3 linked regions of the Canis lupus familiaris genome follow. The protein of the gene in region 2 binds, or shares a complex with, the protein of the main gene of each other region. Links are inferred from orthologs where the notes say so. Each region holds a gene or a part of one and is shown on either strand. Other genes may lie near its edges. The genes, in order: IGF2BP1, DHX9 and HNRNPU.

What was found.
Region 1: DHX9 (region 2) and IGF2BP1 share a complex: the UniProt entries of both Homo sapiens proteins name them as parts of the coding region determinant (CRD)-mediated complex. The link is inferred for Canis lupus familiaris from reciprocal best matches to the Homo sapiens genes DHX9 and IGF2BP1.
Region 3: DHX9 (region 2) and HNRNPU share a complex: the UniProt entries of both Homo sapiens proteins name them as parts of the coding region determinant (CRD)-mediated complex. The link is inferred for Canis lupus familiaris from reciprocal best matches to the Homo sapiens genes DHX9 and HNRNPU.

The regions. Positions count from the first base shown.
Region 1 is NC_049230.1:25,147,193-25,153,576, reverse strand, and holds the start of IGF2BP1 (insulin-like growth factor 2 mRNA-binding protein 1), read right to left. Parts: upstream 3,995-6,384; 5' UTR 3,969-3,994; coding exon 3,794-3,968; intron 2,592-3,793; coding exon 2,531-2,591; intron 1-2,530. UniProt on the Homo sapiens protein: RNA-binding factor that recruits target transcripts to cytoplasmic protein-RNA complexes (mRNPs). This transcript 'caging' into mRNPs allows mRNA transport and transient storage.
Region 2 is NC_049228.1:16,110,738-16,117,138, forward strand, and holds the start of DHX9 (ATP-dependent RNA helicase A), read left to right. Parts: upstream 1-2,060; 5' UTR 2,061-2,203; intron 2,204-5,775; 5' UTR 5,776-5,797; coding exon 5,798-5,908; intron 5,909-6,401. UniProt on the Homo sapiens protein: Multifunctional ATP-dependent nucleic acid helicase that unwinds DNA and RNA in a 3' to 5' direction and that plays important roles in many processes, such as DNA replication, transcriptional activation, post-transcriptional RNA regulation, mRNA translation and RNA-mediated gene silencing.
Region 3 is NC_049228.1:35,780,512-35,786,182, forward strand, and holds part of HNRNPU (heterogeneous nuclear ribonucleoprotein U), read right to left. Parts: intron 3,747-5,671; coding exon 3,607-3,746; intron 3,051-3,606; coding exon 2,951-3,050; intron 2,545-2,950; coding exon 2,432-2,544; intron 2,087-2,431; coding exon 1,823-2,086; intron 1,533-1,822; coding exon 1,413-1,532; intron 993-1,412; coding exon 864-992; intron 774-863; coding exon 605-773; intron 368-604; coding exon 113-367; intron 1-112. UniProt on the Homo sapiens protein: DNA- and RNA-binding protein involved in several cellular processes such as nuclear chromatin organization, telomere-length regulation, transcription, mRNA alternative splicing and stability, Xist-mediated transcriptional silencing and mitotic cell progression.

The sequences.
Region 1 (6,384 bases), on a different chromosome or scaffold from region 2:
CATTTAAAATATCAAATTAATGTTCTCAGTTTCAAGGCATGTGCTCAGTCTTTTGGGTTCTTTAAAAAGTACAAACTATATCAAACAGATACAAAGTTAGAACAAAATGAATTAATAGTTCAAAATCAGAGGATGCTAAGGTAACTGCCTATTACCTTTTGTTTAATTCCCCTCTCAAAAACAAACAAAAAACAGGAACACTTAGGTTATTAGATTTTTATGAATCTCTTAGAAATGTTTAAAGTCATTAACTTATTTGAAACTGAGTGTATCCAAAAGTTGCTTCTATTTTTTCAAACAGTGAAAACAAGAGTGTATATAAATATATACACACACACACATATATAAAATACACAGTTGTTCATGTTCCTTAAAATATTAGTCATAGTTAATTAACTAGTTCCTGGTCTATATATCCATGAGATTGAAAAAGCCAGGAACAGACCAACTAAAGAAAGTTTTCAGACAGACTGAGAACACATACCACAAAATGCTTCCTTCAAAGAACACAAAATGATAGAGCAAACTGACTTCATGAAAACAAACTTTTTTTAAAATCCTCAAACTTCAAAAATTGATTCATTCTAGAAAAATGAAGTGCCTTCTCAACCACCCCACAAACACACACACACACACACACACACAACTAACTCAGTGTGCTCAAAAAATTATTTCAGGGCAGGAGAGAGAACACACAAAAGATGGAATTTAATATGGATGTGGAAAGGAAGATTTTGTTCCCACTCTTACAAATCCCACCCCTTCCTAACTCAAAAGCGCCCTAAGTCATGCATTTTGGAGGGAACAAGAAGGAGCCTAAAAATGGCTTGAAAGCAAGCAGATGGCTTAGGGGGAAAAGATCCATAAATACAGAGCACCATGGAAATTAAAATATAAATGTTTGGGGTCCCATTTCATCACATTTTGCAATTTCTCTTGCTTTCACTTCATTCCCTTTAAAATTTAAACCATCCAGAAGAGCAAAAGGGAAAAAAAAAATCCCACGTCAGAATTCCAGTTATTCTGGACATTTCTCATCAACATATTTCAAACGCTGAGCTTTTAGCTCAAATATCCAGTTTTCTCAATAAATCCACTGGTGTCAGTATGTTTCTCTCATTCCCATCTCCAGGAAATGTTTCAAAATAATAAATAAGACTTTTTCTCTTCCTTCCGATTTTATTGCCTCTTTACTACTAACTCTAATTGCCTTTCCAATAAGAGTATTTGAAGCATTTGAGGTTAAATCACAGGCTCTATAAACATAGTTACAAGCCATATTGATCATCTATAGATACAATAGTTCCAAGTTACTTAAAATATCTCAAGCTAAACCTACTGGACCGATTTTTATCTCACTTATACTTTACAGTTAAAACTTCACAGGCTCAAAAAAAAACCAAACAAAACCCAAAAAACTGCCACCCACCTCCACTTTCCCACCCAGAAAAAGCCAGGATTATTCTAAATGCAGCAAGTTTCTAGTTGAAATGAGAGGGAGAACACACCTAGGGAGGGGATGGGGGAGAGAACCGGAGGATCAAAGATTTCCTGGGAGCAGCAACAGGAGGGAAAACTCTTCACTGTCAACATGTTTAAAGTCAGATTTGAGAAAGCAGAAACTCTGCCCCTATACTTCCCAGCCAGAGTTCAATGAAAGATCTGAAAGCCACCATGAACCAGATTTAGGGATACCATGATAGAGATACCCCACTTTGCTTAAATGAGTAGGAAGGTATTGGGACACACATACACACACTCACTCTGTCTCACTCAATCTCCCTCTCTCACAATTCATCCAGGGAGTTCTAGACCCTCCAAAGAGCCCCAGCTCACAGCCTGAACACAAAGCTCTCACCCCAGATGGTCCCCTTATAACAATGGACTGAAGGAGTGGGGGTAGGGGGGCTCGGAAAGGATCGCACAGCCAAAGCATATTCTTTGCAAAATCCAGTTGGGAGGGGAGGGCGTGTGATGTGAAGGGCTAGGGCTAGGGGTCTGGAAAAAAAAATGCCCTTGCCTGTTGCAGAAATACACATATAACACAAGCATAAGGGAATTCTTTTGGGGGCAGGAATTCATTTTACTTCTCCTAGGAAGTCAAAGGGATCCCCCCACCCCCATCCACTTAAGAATTATGCTAAAGGACGGGTTGGGGAAAAAAAAAAGGAGGCCTGCTAGAAGTTGCAGAAATGTCGAGTTGCAACTCTTCAAAGATTTTTAGCTTCCCACAAAAATGGCCCCACACACCTTGAACAAACTCCACAAGGTTTTTCTATTGATTTTTTTTGCCTTTTACTTCTCCAAATACCATCTCTCAGCCCACCCCAACCCCAGCTTATTTTTTACAAGCTGTAAACCACCCATTACAAGATCTTAGCCAATCTTCCCTCCCTGCCCCCAACATCCGGAGTTGGGGGTGGGAAGGCCAGTAATGGGTTTCTTCCACTGGAGACACTATGGACCCCTTAACACAACCTCTAAGCGCCCCCAGGTTGCCTCCCTTCTTCGTCGAAGAGCCCTTTCCTACCTTTGTTTTTTGGGGACCGAGTGTTCAATCTCTAGGCGTTTCCCTTGCAATTCGACTTTCCCTAAAGATTAAAAAAAAAAAAAAAAAGACAATATAAGATCTTGAACAGGGGTGTGGGGTGGGAAAAGGATAAAGAGGGTAATTCAGGAGTTACTGTGATCAGAGATCTGCCTAGGAATCCAGGCAGTGGGTTCCGTGGCCGGACGCGAAACGGTCGCGCTGGGAATGGTGGAAATCTATAAATTCGTTATTGTGTTTTGTTAATTTTCGTTTTGTTCTGTTCTCTCGCCGAGGTCACTTGGGTCGTGGATGGCTGCGGGCGCCCGATCTGGGAGGCGGGGGGCGGCCGGGGCGTGGGTGGGGGCGGGCTGCCTCTCGGCCCCCGGAGGTGGGGAGCAGGGGCCGGGGAGAGAAAGGGCTCCTCGGTGCTCCCAAAGTGCGTTGCGGGGGAGGGGTGCAGCACGAAACTTTAGTTCCCCGTGCGGCCGCAGAGAAGGGCTCCGGGCGGCGAGGCGCTCACCTGTCGGGGCCGGTGGCGGGCCGAGGCCCTGGGGGAGCGGAGCGGGGCCCCGCGGGGAGGGTCCCCGGCGGCCGCGGCGCGCGCCTCTCGGCCCAGCCTGGGCGTCTCGGGAAGCAGCATGGCGACCCGCCGCCGCCGCCGCCGCGCCACCCCGCTCACGCCCCACTTTCAAATCAAAATGGCTCAAGCCCAGGCCCAGGGCGGGAGGCGGGACCCCCCTTCCTCTCCGGTCCCGCCCGAAGGCTGCCGTCCCACTGGGAACCGGGGAGCTCGGGGACGGCGCGGGGACCTCTTCCCCGCCCGGAAAGGCCTAGGGCCGAGGAGAGGGAGCTGGGGGTGGGTGGGGGTGGGTGGGGGGTGGTGTTCGCGTGGGGGGCGGGGGCGGGGGTCCGGCCTCGGGTACACGGGGGTGCAGGGGAATAACGCCCCAGACGGGGGCCGCCCGAGTGGGAACCCCCACAGACACACCGCCAGTGGGGCCCCCGCCCCGTCGGTGGGGGGCAGGGGCGGCCTTCCGAAAGCCTCCGGCCTCCGCTCGGGCTGGGAGGAAAGGGTGAGGGGGTCCGGGCTATTTCCGCGCGGGGGGCGCGGGGGGACGCAGGGGGCGTCGAAAGAGGCGGGCGGAGGGTCGATGGCGAGGCCAAGCGGCGCAGGCCGGGGACAGAGAGGAGTTGGCGGGCAGGGAGCCGGGGAGGGCCGGGGGCGTCGTGCTGGCTTCTGCGGGGAGGTGGGCGCGCTCTTACCGGAGAAAGTTTCGATGGCCTTCATTGCCCAGTGCTCGTCGGGGCAGTCCACGAAGGCATAGCCCGATTTGACCAAGAACTGGCCGCTGTAGGAGATCTTGTGCTCCGCAAACACTTTCTCCAAGTCCGCGGGGGTCACGCTCTCGTTGAGGTTGCCGATGTACAGCTTGTTCATGGTGGCGGTGTCGGGGCGGGACGCGGTCCCTTGGCAAGGCCGAGCGGGCGGGCGCGGGCGCGGGCGGCGAGCCTCCTAGGCCGAGAGGCGGGAGGCCGGCGGCGGCAGCCGCAAACTTTCTTTGCACCCCACCCCTGAAGTTGTCCGGAGCCCGCGGCGCGGAGGGCGGCCTGAGGGCGCGCAGAGGTCGCGGGAGAGTTCGGGGAGGCCCGGGAGAAGTGCCCGCGGCGCGCTGGGAGGCGGACGACGCGGCGCTGCTCCTTCCCTTCTGTCCGAAACCCCTCCGAGCGGGCTGGTGTGTCACGTTTCTCCGCGGCCGCCCTGGCGCCGCCTCTAAATAAAATCGACTTGAAAAAAAATGGAGCGGAAAAAAAAAAAAAAAAAAGGGCGAAGCCACGTGGTGAAAGCCCCCACCCACCCGGCTCGGGAAGACCCCCGACGCCTCTGGGCCCACCGGCCCTCCGGCCGGGCCCAGCCCACCGATCTCCAGCCCCGGGTGGGAAGGGAGGGGGCACTCAACCCCCCCCCACCCCGGGCGGGGAACTGGGCGGTGGGGGCTGCGTTCCCGAAGCTCTAATTGCCCCCTCCCCCTTGGCAAGAATCTGGCCCCTAGGGAGGCGCCCCGCCCCCACCCATCCCCCTACCCCGGGCCCGGCTGGGGGAGGGCGGTCGGGCCCAGAATCTCCCACCTCTTTATGGGTGAAATGTGCGGTTATTTTTTATTCGTGTGGGGGTCGGGGCGGGGGTGGGGGGCGAGAGTTTCCCCACCCTACCCCGGTTAACTGCTAGCGACTGACAGGCGGGGAACGGCCGAGATAGACAAAGAGAAGCCGAGGACTCTGGGGTCTCCAGGCGGGGGTCGCGCAAGCCGGTGATTTTTAAAGAAAGGCGCTCTTCCCCTAGATTTTTTAGTGAGGGGTCTCGGCCTCGCCCGCCCCGGCCCCGGGAGACTCCCCTGCCTCCGGGAATCCGGCACCGAAGGACCCTGCGAGCGCGGGACCGGGAAGCTGGGAACACGGGGGACCGCGGCCGGGAAGCAGGGCTCCGCAGGAAACCGCGTTTCGGGGTTCCCACGGGAGAAGGAAGGGTGGCTCGCCCCCGGGGCTCGGCTGCCCAACGACACCGTCCCGGGGTCCTGGGGGGACGCGCGGCTCCGGCCCAAGCTGACCCCAGGAGAGAGGGAGGGGTGAAGGGGAGGAGGAGGAGTGGTAGCGGGAGCAGACCCGAGCGGACCGCAGAGGGGACGTCTCCGGGAGGGAGTGACCGGGCGGAGATCCGAACGCTCCCCGTCTCCCTCCCGGGCGCGGGGGCAGACAGGTGGAGTCCCCTCCCGCCCGCCCCACCCAGCCCGGCGACCGCGGCTCTCGCGGCGCCGGGTTCGGGGCTCGGAACTTTGTTTGGGGCGCAGCGTTCGGATCCGGGCGGGAAGGCGGGAGAGGGGCCGGGGGCGGGGGGCCGAGCGCCGAGGCCCCGCCCACGTCCCCAGGTCAGACCCGCGGGGGGAGGGGGTAATTTCCGCTCGGCGCTCGGGGAAGCGAGGGGCGGGAGCTTCGGGGAGGGGGCGGCGGCCCCTCCCCCGCCCGTTCCCGGGGAGGGGGAAGCGGATCCGCCCTGGTCCCTTTCCTCGCCTTTGACCAACTCGCTCCGGATCCTCCGGCCCCGGGAGCCCGAGGGACGGACCCGACTGGGCAAGGGGCGACACGTGGGCGGGCGCACCCCGTCTCGGCGGTGGGGGAGGGGGCCGTCCGCCGCGCGTTTCGGAGTCCGGGAGAGGCGGCGGAGAGCGGGACGCGCGGTCCACGCGCAACCAGGATCCCGGGCCGAGTGGCGGGCGAGGGCAACGAGTTTCCAGTGGAGGGGGCTGGGCCGGCGCCGGGGGGCGGGGGGTGGCGGGGAGCGCGGCCCGGGGACCCCGGAGCTCCCCTGCCCGGGGGCGGGGGGCGGAGGGGGTGGACCCCCAGTAATGCCAGACTCTCCCTGGACTGGGCGGAAGCTCGGGTTTTGCTCTGGCTTGTGCGGGTGGGAGAAACAATTCTGTCGGGGGCACGCGTGCTGCGAGGGCAGGTGAGGAAGGGGGTCACTCTCCCTTTCCCCGTCCCCGACCCCATTGTCTCAGTCGCCTGCGGCCCGGGCCGACTCCGCAACACGTGTTGGCTGCACTGATATGAATGCCTTGGATTTTTTTTCCTTGTTATTATTTTTTTGTTTGCAGAGTCAGGGAGCTGACTCCCGACTTGGGCGCACCGCTCCTCTGCCAGACGATTTTTATACCGTTCAAAAAGTCGGGAGTTAAAAGACCACACGCCGCACCTTTGTCCCCCTCCCGGTTTTCCCCGCGCGCTGCAAAGAAACGGGGCTTGGGCGTGGGGGGAGGGCTTCCAACTCGGTTTCTCCATCTCCACCACCTTCAAAACCC
Region 2 (6,401 bases):
TTATCTGTGTTGCAGACGTTTCCTACTAAGAGCTTAGGTGTTTACCGTAAAGAGTTGCCTTGACCGGTGGTAGAGTTTCCCTTGGAAATGTCTTGTTCTTCAACTGATAATCTTTGGAACTGCCCAGCTGGGAAGATCATGGTGCTCAAGGTACTTTGAGAACACAGACATTGTTCTGTTTCAAACTTTATTCAGCCCTAACTGACTTGACTTGTTACCTCTTTTCCTCCTTACAGGGGAATATAAGAGCCTGCAGTTCTCTTCTCCTGATCCTCACATGGTTATCTTCTTGTCTGCTTTTCAGATGTTGGCTTAAATATTAACTTTTCAGAGATGATATTTTTAACCATCCAGTTTAAAATAGCCACCCAGGCAAATTCTATCTCAGCATTAACATTACATTTAATTCTCTGCATAGCAACTTATTTCCAGTGAATATTTTATTTGCATTCTTTTTTATTGTCTGCTCAAATGCAAGCTTTCATTGAATCTGTGGCTTTATGTCTTCATTGGTTTTAGGTAATACTTCTTCAAATACTGCTTTTTCTCCATTCCATCTCTCCTCCATTATTGAAACTTTAATTAGATGTATACTATATCTTTTCACCATGTTCCATTCATCTTTTAGGTTCTTTCGTGTATTTATCATTTGCTTTTCTCTGCAAGGTCCAACTGGATATTTTCTACTGATCTATTTATTTACCATTAACCAATCCTTTTTCCTGCTATATACAATCTATTAACCCATTAATTAAGTCCGGAATTTTGGTGATTCCATTTTCACTTTTAAAATTTCTATTTGAGGGGATCCCTGGGTGGCGCAGAGGTTTGGCGCCTGCCTTTGTCCCAGAGCGCGATCCTGGAGACCCGGGATTGAGTCCCACGTCGGGCTCCCGGTGCATGGAGCCTGCTTCTCCCTCTGCCTGTGTCTCTGCCTCTCTCTCTGTGTCTCTCATGAATAAATAAATAAAATCTTTAAAAAAAATAAAATAAAATTTCTATTTGATACTTCATATTTATTCCAGTGTTTTCATCTATTCTCTTGAACATACTAATTGTAATTTTTATAAAGTCTCTGATAATTTCAATATCTGAATCATTTATGATCATAGTTCTATTTTTTCCTCTTGATTTTCAGTCATTTGTTTTGTCTCCTGGCTTGCCTGGGGACTTTTTTTTTTATTGAATTTGGGCGATTCTATAAAAAAATTATAGAAATTATAGGTCATTCTGTCTTCCTCTTCTGGCAGAAAGAGAAAGCTAGAGCACTTTGGTCCAACGAGGAAGTGAGATGATTCAAGGCTGGTTTTCATTCACCTGAGTTTGTCCTTGCTTTTAGAATGTACCCCTGCAGGAGGTATCAGATGAAAGTCTGGGCTCTGTGCCTTGGTGAACTCCAGGTTTTGTCTCTCCAGTACCATGAGGCTCCTGAATGCTCTACCTAGCTTTTAGCCTAGGCAGCTTAGGAATCAGCAAATGCATCAAAGTGAAAAGTGACACAAAAGCTCCGATGTGAAAAAAAAATTTTTTTAAAAAGCTCTCATGTTTCCCTTTCCCCAGGATATTAGCTGCCTTGCCTCTAATGCTTCAAATAGCTGTCTTGTTTTGACTTTTTTTTTTTTTTTTTTTGCTTCAGATTTTGGAGTTGCTTTTGGCAAGAGAATTGGTTTGCTAAAAGCTACTCTATCATACACAGAAGTCATCTCCAAATGCAAGCTCTGTGAGAAAAGGATCTCACATCTGTCTTATTTATGGCTATTTCCTAGTACCAATAGTGCCTAGTACCAAAACAAAACAAAACACCCTTCAATAAACATTGATGTTAATTAATGTAAGAACTAAGCCCTATATCTGTCCTTGACATCTATATCATTTACAGCCCTCCGTATCTATCCAAGGGAGTCTAGGGTAGGTAGCACAGCACGGGAAGAATGGGGTCTGGATCTCCTTGGCAACCGGACGCCACGCGCGGGCACGGTAGCCGCGGCCCCGCCCCTCCCCCCCGGGGCGCCCGCGGCCCCGAGCTCGCTCCCTGCGCATGCGTACGCGCGCTGGCCCCGCCCCCCTGGCGCAGCCGTCGGAGCCATTTTCTCCGCCGCCTCCGCGCAAGCTGCGGTGCGTTAAGCGGGCGTCTCTGAGGGAGGCCGCGGCCACGGAGGGTTCTGAGAGGGCTGCGTTCTCGGACACCGGAAGGCGGACGCCGGTAGGGTAGAGACGTCTTTGCCACCCGTTGTGGGGCGCGGGGCCCCGCGCTCCTGCAGCCGGGCTTTGTTGCGAAGCGCGGGCGGCGGTGGCGGGTGGGGGAAGGGGCGAGGCGCCCGCTGGGTTCCCGGATTACGGGCTGCATGCGGCTCGCCGCGCCTCCCCCCGCCTCCCCCCGCCTCCCCCCGCCTCCCCCCGCCTCCCCCTGCCTCCGCTGCCCGGGCCCGTGCGGCGGACCCGTTACCCCCGCCCCCCCACACACCCTCGTCCGCGGCCCCGAGCCCCACGTTCTCCCGCGGCCTGCACGCCGTGCTTGCTCTTGGCGGGATCGCGGGGCTGGCGAGGCCGCCGTGACGCCGCACACGCCCGAGGCCCTTCATCCATTCATTTCGGCCACAAAGACCGGGCGCTGTCCTGCGGGTGCGGTGGCGGGGCGGTGAGCACGTGGGGGCGCAGTCCCTCCCTCTTCCGCGGGGAGGTTTCGGCGGTGGGAGGAGGCTCCGGCAACACCAGCGTCTGCAGGCTGCGGTCAGAAGCTTGAGAAAATGGAAGGTCGTCGAGGGAGAAGGCTGGTTTCACCCGGGCGGCCGGGGGGAGAGCGGACTTCCCGAGCGGATGAGGTCGAGGATGCGTCAGCTCCGAGATGCGGGATCAGTTAGCGCTTGAGAGCGGGAGTTGGGGAAGAAACGGCGAGGAGGCCCTGTTACCTAGAGCGTATTTTGAAGGGTGAAGAGAATGGATTTCAGGACGGTCAGCGTGAAAAACGGCGATTTAGATACCTAGATCCAGGGCGTGATTGCAGGAGGCCGGGGGGTGCGGCAGTGGTGGCAGCGGACGGACGGACGGACGGACGGACGGACAGACGCGCAGGGGGTGCAAAGCTGGTTTTGGAGGCGGAATGGCGTGTAGGTCAGGAGCCCGCCTGCCGGGCCTGGAAGTCTGGCTCCTCCCAGCTGAGAGAGCTCTTGTCTTCTCTGGGGCGAAGGATTTGGGGATTTTTGTGGGGTTTTTTTGTTTTGTTTTGTTTTTGTCTCAGTTTATTAAACGGGGAGAATAAGTATTCTCATCTGCATAATTATTGTAAGGGTTTAGGAAAAGTCGTTTACGTGTAGATGATCCCCTAAGGCTTTACTGACTGGTGTGCAAACGGAGAGTCCTCCAAGGGATGGCTGTGGAGGGCATTATTAAGGGAGCGTAGGACTCCCAGCTTGTGACGGGGGTAACTTGGCGGTGCCATTTCAGGAGGTGGAAACACTTGGACTGCGGGGAGGAAGGGTCAGGTGTGGAAAGGAAACGTCTGTTTTTACTGAGATGTCAGGTTAGCGTTTGCACATGAGCGCCGTAGTTGGATGATACTTGATTTTGGAGCTTTGAAAAGACTATTTCAATATATGTTTGGGCACGATCAGCATATAGTTGATAATTGAGTATAGTGGCGTTCGTTGAGACTGCCTAAGGAAGGAATTTGATAGTGTAGTCTTTCATATTTCATGGTACTCCTTCACCCTGAGGTTCTTGTTTTTTGGTTTTGTTTTGTTTTTTGTTTGTTTGTTTGTTTTAGTTGATTATTCAGGGGTGGAATTTACAGATGGACATCGGGAGCTTTCCACCGCTTTTCGGTCAATAGGATTTACCCAGGTTAACCTGTGGCTACAGAATAACCTTATACTAGGGTCCAGTTTCATGACGTTAGATTTAGGTGCTAACAAAATGCACTGAACAGAAGAAGTAATAGGGTTTCTTCTCACACACAAACTATTTTTTTTTTTTTGCATATCTTTTCCAGATTAAGTTTGGTCTTAGATATCTTGCCTTTTTTTTTAATACTTATTATTTATTTTGAGAGAGAGCACGCACGCACATATGTGCAATGAGGAGCAGAGGGAGGGGGAAAGAGAATCTCCAGCAGACTCCTTGTTGAGCTCAGAGCCCACCCAGGGCTCTATCCCAAGACCCTGATTGTGGCCCTAGCCGAAATCAAGAGTCAGAGGCTTAATTGAGCCACCCAGGCATCCTTCATATATCTTGCTTTTGATTTAGATTCAGATTTTTTTTTTAAAGATTTTATTTATTTATTCATGAGAGACACAGAGAGAGAGAGAGAGAGAGGCACAGACACGGGAAGAGGGAGAAGCAGGCTCCAAGCAGGGAACCCGACGTAGGACTCGATCCGCAGGACTCAATCCGGGGACTCCATGATCATGGCCTGGGCCAAACGCAGGTGCTCAACTGCTGAGCCACCCAGGCATCCCTAGATTCAGATTTTAGACTCATAGGCTCCATATCATTTGGTGTATTTATAAACTAGTTTAGAGGGAGAGTGCCAACAAGTATGGTATGGTGCATATCAAGAAAACTTAGTATCCTCAAATTATAATGAATAAAAAGGCCTAAAGGAGAGATTGGGTGCTTAACAGATTAGTATTTTTATTATTTTTTAAGATTTTATTTATTTATTCATAGAGACACAGAGAGAGAGAGAGACAGAGACACAGGCAGAGGGAGAAGCTGGCACCATACAGAGAGCCTGACGTGGGACTGGATCCAGGGTCTCCAGGATCATGCCCTGGGCTGCAGGCGGCGCTAAACTGCTGCGCCACCGGGGCTGCCCCAGATTAGTGTTTTTAGTCTAAGTACTGAATACTTGGTGTATTTGGACTTAGTAGTGTGATACATAACCTACAACTTTGAGGACAGTCTGCTAGGAGACACCTCAGAATGAGAATAAACACTCTGATTTACACACAACATGATAGATGACCGTTTCTTAATCTTGTAGTTTTAATTTATGCCTCCACAGTGGGTGATTTGGAAGTTAAACTTTCTATTGCCTTGTTTCTTCCTTTGTATAGAGGTGATAATAGTATAGTATTTACCATATAATTATCTCCCATTGTTTGAGGGTTAAATGAGTTAAAACACATAAGGTGCCTATTGTAAAAAGGAGGACATTACCTAAAATTTTTTTTAAAGATTCATTCGAGAGAGCACATGCCCATGCACGAGTGGGGGAGGGGCAGAGAGCATCCTCAAGTCGACTCTGTCCATTGCCCAAACAGAGCCTGATGCAGAGCCCAGCCCCAGGACCCTGAGATCATGACCCCAGCTGAAATCCAGAATCACCTGCTCATCTGACTGAGCTATCCAGAGACCTCATAAAATGTTTTTAAGGAAAGGTCAAGGGTACTTGGGTGGTGAAATAGAGACCTTTTACAGGTTCCGTGCTGGCTTGGAACCTGCTTAAAATTATCTCTCTTCCTCTCTCAGAATAAAAAGGGCGATTTAGAATCACTTGTAGTCACTCAAAGGTAACCATTTTGAAGGACATTTCTTTTTCGGTCTTGATTTATGCATATATCCTTTTATATAGTGCAAATTGTGTAGTTTTATATCCTGTCTTTCATATAACATGTTGTAGGCTTTCCAACTATGTCATTAAAATTTTGTCATAGGCAATTTTAATAGCCTGGTAGAATATCCTGTGTTTAATCTAGATTTTCAGTTAACCAGAGATACTGGTCCTTTGCAGTGTTTGCTGTTATAAATAATGTGATGTAACTTTTGTTTTCTTAGGTCTGAAGAAGACACTTGAATCATGGGTGATGTTAAAAATTTTCTGTATGCCTGGTGTGGCAAAAGGAAGATGACCCCATCCTATGAAATTAGAGCAGTGGGGAACAAAAACAGGCAGAAATTCATGTGTGAGGTACTACAGAATACAATTTACATTTATGTGATTTTTGACACTTATTTTGGTGTTAGAACAGTATTTTCTGTTTGGAAAGAGTAATGTGTTGTTTGTTCTTTGTTGTCGCTTGCCTGCTATTCTGTTTCATTATAAATCATTTTCAAGTGAGCGTTACTTTTAAAACAAATCTGAAAGGTGAATTCTGGTTAGAACATGTATCTTCCTCAGCTTCCCCAGTACTGCTGTTTGCAGTTTTACTAATTCCTGTAGAAAGTAGATTCTTGATTGCCTCAAGTTAAGTTGTTTAAATACAGATGACGAGCTTGTTCTTGAGTCTTATGAAATCAGATTTTAATGTGGAACATTCTGTTACAGAAGAGAATATCTGAACCATATAAATTAATATTGTTGTTTTTATATTTATCAGTGGTAAACAATTCAAGCTTTCTTATAAGTTAGCTTGTAAATTCTTTTGGATGTGTTATTTTCAATGTTTTTATAGAGTATATCT
Region 3 (5,671 bases), about 20 Mb from region 2:
AGGGTCAAGACATGGGAGGTCAAACCCTGCTAACAGCACCAGGCTCCCAGCCCTGAGAGCACTACCCAGGGATGCAGCCCCACTGCAGGACCCCGTGCCCAAGCACACTTGCCTCCTCCTCGGAAGGTGCCGCCGCGCATGTTGAAGCCACCACGGCCTCTGTGGCCGCCACCCCTGTTGAACTGGTTCTTGCCACTCTTGTTTTTATTGCTCTTCTTTGAACCAGTGTTCTGTTTCTTTTCTGGTGGGAGAGCCTTTTTGCTTTCCTCCTTGTATTGCTCCAAAAGTTTCTGGGCTTCCTCCTTTTGCAGTTCAACATAGGTTATTTCATCAAAGCACTCGGCTACCTCTGGCAGCGTGAAGTTTCCTACAAGGAGTAAGACCAGATTAGCTAAAACCTCACAACTCCCACAACTTTGAAGCCTAAACTGAGTGGCTTTGATTCTTTGAAACCCACACTGTGCTGCCTGCTCAGCTTTACAAACACTTTTCCTAAAAACAGAAATAAACCAAAAATGTTCATTTCCATTGAAGATAATCTGAACCGACAGTAGTTCATGGACACAAAAAAGATTTAACACAGTAACAAAACTAAATTTCATGCCTTTCATTTTGAGGACCGCGTGTTCTGGTAGGTCTTTGCCCTCTACTTCTGCCTTCTTCTGCGTTCTTTGCTTGTAGTCTTCATCTTTCGGGCAAACTACAACAGCTTTTCGTTGGAAGCCTGCAAACAGGCACATTTTTCTCCTCTGGGCAGCAGCAGACACATTTGTCTTGAAAACAAAGTTTGATAACCCAAATATTAGCTCCACATGAAACCCCACAATCCATTCTTTTTTTCCAACCTCAAAGATACAGTTTACCTGATCCAGAATGAAATTTCGTTTCTTGCGGGCAGCAATCTCAATAAACTTCCCAAGACACTGGGGAGCTCTCTGCAACAGTGTGTTCAATTTTCCAGTATCAGCCATCTGCTTCTTAAACCCCGCCACCTGTTTTAAAAGTTAAAAAAGTTCCTTTGAACTTGTGGATGAAACTTAGGCTTTTTTAGTATCAGCTTAGATCTATGCAGAAATCAGACATTTTCAAATTTAAATAGTCCCTTTCCTCATCATTATGATGAATCACTTAACCATGTCACAAAATCCTCTGCTATTCAGTTCTTTCTTAGCTACTAATTGCTTAGTAGTTCAAAAAATTTTACAGAAAAAAATAAAGCCTAGCCAGTGGAAGGCACTTCACCTTACACATACATGCAGTTTACCTTACATCCTCCTACTTTAACCAAGATAACTTGGCCAAACTCTAAAACAGAAACACAAAATGCATAAAGGCAACAGGCAAAAAAGTTGGAGTATCTTCTGGTCTTTTCAAAGTGCTGAGAACACACAATAAATACATACTTTACTTACCATCATCTTATCCATTATGGTGTTTGTTCCAAGAATGTTGTATTTACCAGGATTTTCTGCTGCATGTTTAGTAACCCAGGTGGTTTTCCCAGCTCCAGGCAAGCCAATCATCATAACCACCTAGAGTAAGAAAAAACAGTATTTCACTTATCACCAGAGCCATCTAAGAATTCCCTACGTGTTTTTTTTTTTTAAAGCAAAAGAGCCCGGTTTAGATTTTCATTGCCCTAAAAGCAAAGGGAAGTTTTAGAAACTCAATACTATATAAAGAACACAGCTACTAAGAGAAAAATCACTGGCTGTAACAATCATGGCAGAATCAAACAGATTAATCATCCAGAACTTCCAAGTGTAATTTTTGCCAAACAAAAGTATTCTTCAAATGCTTAAGGAAAAAACATTTTACTTACCTCACAATCTTTCTTCTCTTCAGGCCCCTTTGGTCCTCTAACTCGATCCTCTAAGGGGACATTCTGGATAAAAGTATAATCTTCCGGTATTGGAAAATATGGCTTTTCCTTCTGACCAAAATTAAATTCAACTGCACAGTTGTGGCAGAGAACATGCGGGAAGAGTGGCCTTCCAGCAAGAATTTCCTTACTGATTTTGAAGGCAACACCAAGATCCTGTCCATTCTTTGCATAGGAGAGTTCTACTTCATCACTTTCAAAGTTCTGTTAAGTAGGAAAAAAATTAAGTTTTAATCTGCCTCCTTTAAACTTCCTTAAAAAAAAAAAAAACAAAACTCAAAATTGAAAGGAATGAAGCTCATCCAATAAAAAATGTATTTATAAGTTAAATGTTAGGAGCTTTGTAACACTTATGAAGACTAAAACATTTGTATCTAGAAGCAGAAACAATGCTGCCTTCATAAACAGACTAGATTTTCAGGCCAACTTCATGTTAAGTAGTTTTCAGGGGGAACAGGTTAGTATTGAAGGCAGAGGATATAACTTAAAAAAAATTCTAATTAATAATGCTCACTTTTAAAATAGAAATTTGGGTGACTTATGACTTACAGCAAAACATGTAATCACATCATTTTCATCAAATTTCTCTCCATAATCTTCAGTCTCACAATTGCATGTTTTTATTCCTTTAAGAGAATACCCATAAGAAAATTCTTCTTCACCTAAGAAAATAAATTTAACTTTCATGAAATCGATTGTTCAAAACAGTCCAATGACCCACATATTTTAATATTCAAGATACAATCAAGAGAAAGGAGTACATAACCTAACATTCTTCCACTTACACTTTACCTAGATGTAGAAAATTGAGAGCTAGGTGGGTTATATAACTATCTTAAAAATTGCACATCATGGGATAGTGGCTTTTAACCACTGGTCATAAAATAAGTAACCAAAAAGGGGAGAGAAAAAAAAACCCTCAAGTCAGTTGATACATGCTAGTTATCATTCACAACTAAAATAACAAAACGGATTAAAAACAGGCAGGTTTAGAAAGCCTCCTAGTCTAACTACTGAAATCAGACCCTAAACACACATGAGCACATACTACTCAAATGGAAACTTTACCAAGCAACATTCCACTTGTGGTTAGTGACCAGCCAATCCGAACTTCATGTATGTCAATATCTTTTGTATATAAATGCCTTACTGGGATCTTCTCTGTAACCTGAAAAATCAAATCATAAATGATTACAAAGAAGATAAACCCCTGACCCCTTGTTTACTTCATCTGGGCTGTGGGCTAATTCTTCTCTACTAACAGGAAGAGACCCATTCTACCTCACCATCTCTCCCCTACATTTACAAGAACTTTAAAAATTGACAGAAGAGCTTGGAACTTGAGCCGAAAACATTCAAGTCCTTGATCGACTCACATTTAAAAGAACTGTTAAAGTTCAAAGATTACAGATTCTTGACTCAAAAACCAATTAAAGTATACATTCAACCTGTTTTGCTATGGAACGAAACCCAAAGCTTAAATCAAATTATTTTTAAACCCTTCATGGGCTTTTCAAGTGCTTGATAAGAGTAACCTAAATAAAGACAGGCTGACCCTACAATAGAAATTACTAATGTAACAGATATAGTTAACTGTCATAAAAGAAAGGTTTTTCCAAGTCTCTTTCAATCCACAGAAACTTCAAAGATAAAAAGTTCCAATGACACTATGAAGTGTCAGGCAAATGGTAACTCAGAGGTTCTTAAAAAAAAACTGCTTTTACCTTCATCTCAAAACAGACTTTGCCTTTTGACACACCATAAGATGCCCTTCCTCCAGCCCAAAGAAAAGCAAAACTCTCCATAGTGAGGGAAGAAGCACTGAGGCGGTCTCTTGATATTTTAAAATGTAGATCACAATTATCTGTAATTATATCAAATACCATATTATTTCTTTTGACATCCAATGCAAATATATCTGCTACATCAACAAAACCTGGTTATTATATTCTTGCATATTTCCTAAAGCTGCATTGGGACACACTGCTTCTACAGATCATGCTGCTGATCTTCACTTTAGGCCCCACACCCACCAAGTCACTCTCACCAAATTATGAACTAAAGTGTAAACTGCCTACAAAACCAAAACACCAAATTTAACGTGTATTCTAAGTATATAAAATAATCAAGACAATGTGACATGGGATACATACCTGCTCTGCTCTTTACCTTGATTTAGAGGCAAGCAGTAGAGGATAGCAGGAAATCAAAGTGAAGCATGCCAGAACCAGGTAGAATTTACCAGTGCCACAATAAAACTGAAGGGAGGCCATGACCACACACTTTAAATACAGGAGTGTGAGCTGTTTGTTGATCCTGTGCTTTGTGATTTTAAAACACCAGGGGCTCTAGACCCTAAGTTCTCACACTGTGAAGAAGGCAGCCTCAACCTAGCCAAATGCAAACCTGCTTGTCGGACACTGTTAATATTACAGCATTTTAGCTCCCTTTTCCCCAGGCCAGAGGGTCAGTCAATAACAACGGAGGATTATCCCTTCGAGGATTACCCAAATCCCAAAGAAAGGTCCTTAACCTAGCTATCTTTGGGTCAGTGGCTCATTAGCATGCACCTTCTTGGAGTTTGCATCACAAGTTAAAAACCCGTTTTCTTATGCTTTTATTGATGACAGGAAATTAGATCTACAGCTTGGGATTCTCCTTAAATGAGCTTAGCTCTCAAGAATACTGACAGAATTTTCAATTCGACCAACTGTGTTTGAACCCAATATAGATAGCAACAAATTAAGTTGATGTTCCTAGGTAATCAGCTAAAACCCCATCTACTTGGGCGGTAGCGTCACTTCTGGAAGCACTGCTTCACTATCTTGCCAATTCCAACTTAGTCATATTTAAAAGCAATGGAACTATTTAAAATAAAACTCTCACATCAAAGATTTTTCCACGTGCAGTTTTCTTTTCTTTTAAAAGATTCCCTTAGCTCAACTACCTGTTAAGGGTATTTAATACGAACTCAAGAGTTAACATTTACATTCTCACAAATCTTGCTAAAAATAATTTGTATTGGAAAACACGGAAATCTAAACTTTAACTCCCTAGATCTATGGGGCAGGTTCACACCTGACCACCTACTTAGCAAGCCATTATTTCTAAGCTCTATTTATCAAAGTGAAAGAGCTGTGCATTCTGATCAAATACTGAACAAAGTATTTTTATGCAAAATTACATATCTGACAGCCAAGGCCCATTTAGAGGTTTGCAATACTTCCTCATACTCAATTGCAACCCAACTGGGTAAAGTAGCAGTATTTACAGCGCTGCCATTGATACCATTCGCTGCTGAAGAAAGCTAGTAGCCCAGTGATAGCCCACTGCTGCTGCCCCAGGTCTTTGGAAGAAATCAACTTATGTTAAAGCAGCAGCTACTGAACTGGAATTGAGAACAAAAGAGCAGTTATTGAAAAAGTAATATTACAATCTTTTAGAATAGGGAATATACTTGTGTGCTAATGGGAAAAAATCATTAATACGTATTTAACTAGCCCAAATAGCTCACTTAATAAAATGCTACCAAAAAAATTAAATTACTTTATCGTAGGAGCCTAAAAGGACAAGTTACAGGTTGTCTTACAAGTTTCCATTAGCTAACTAAACCAAAAATTGCCATTAATTTTACATTCCTATAAATGAGAACTTTCTAATCATATAAAAAATAACACCAAATTGCTGGAGCCTATAAAATTATCAATACGACACAATTGATGCTGTATTAGACATTTAGCTACCAGAATCTGAATAAAACCTTTCGTCTCCCTCCTTTAAAAAAGGTAA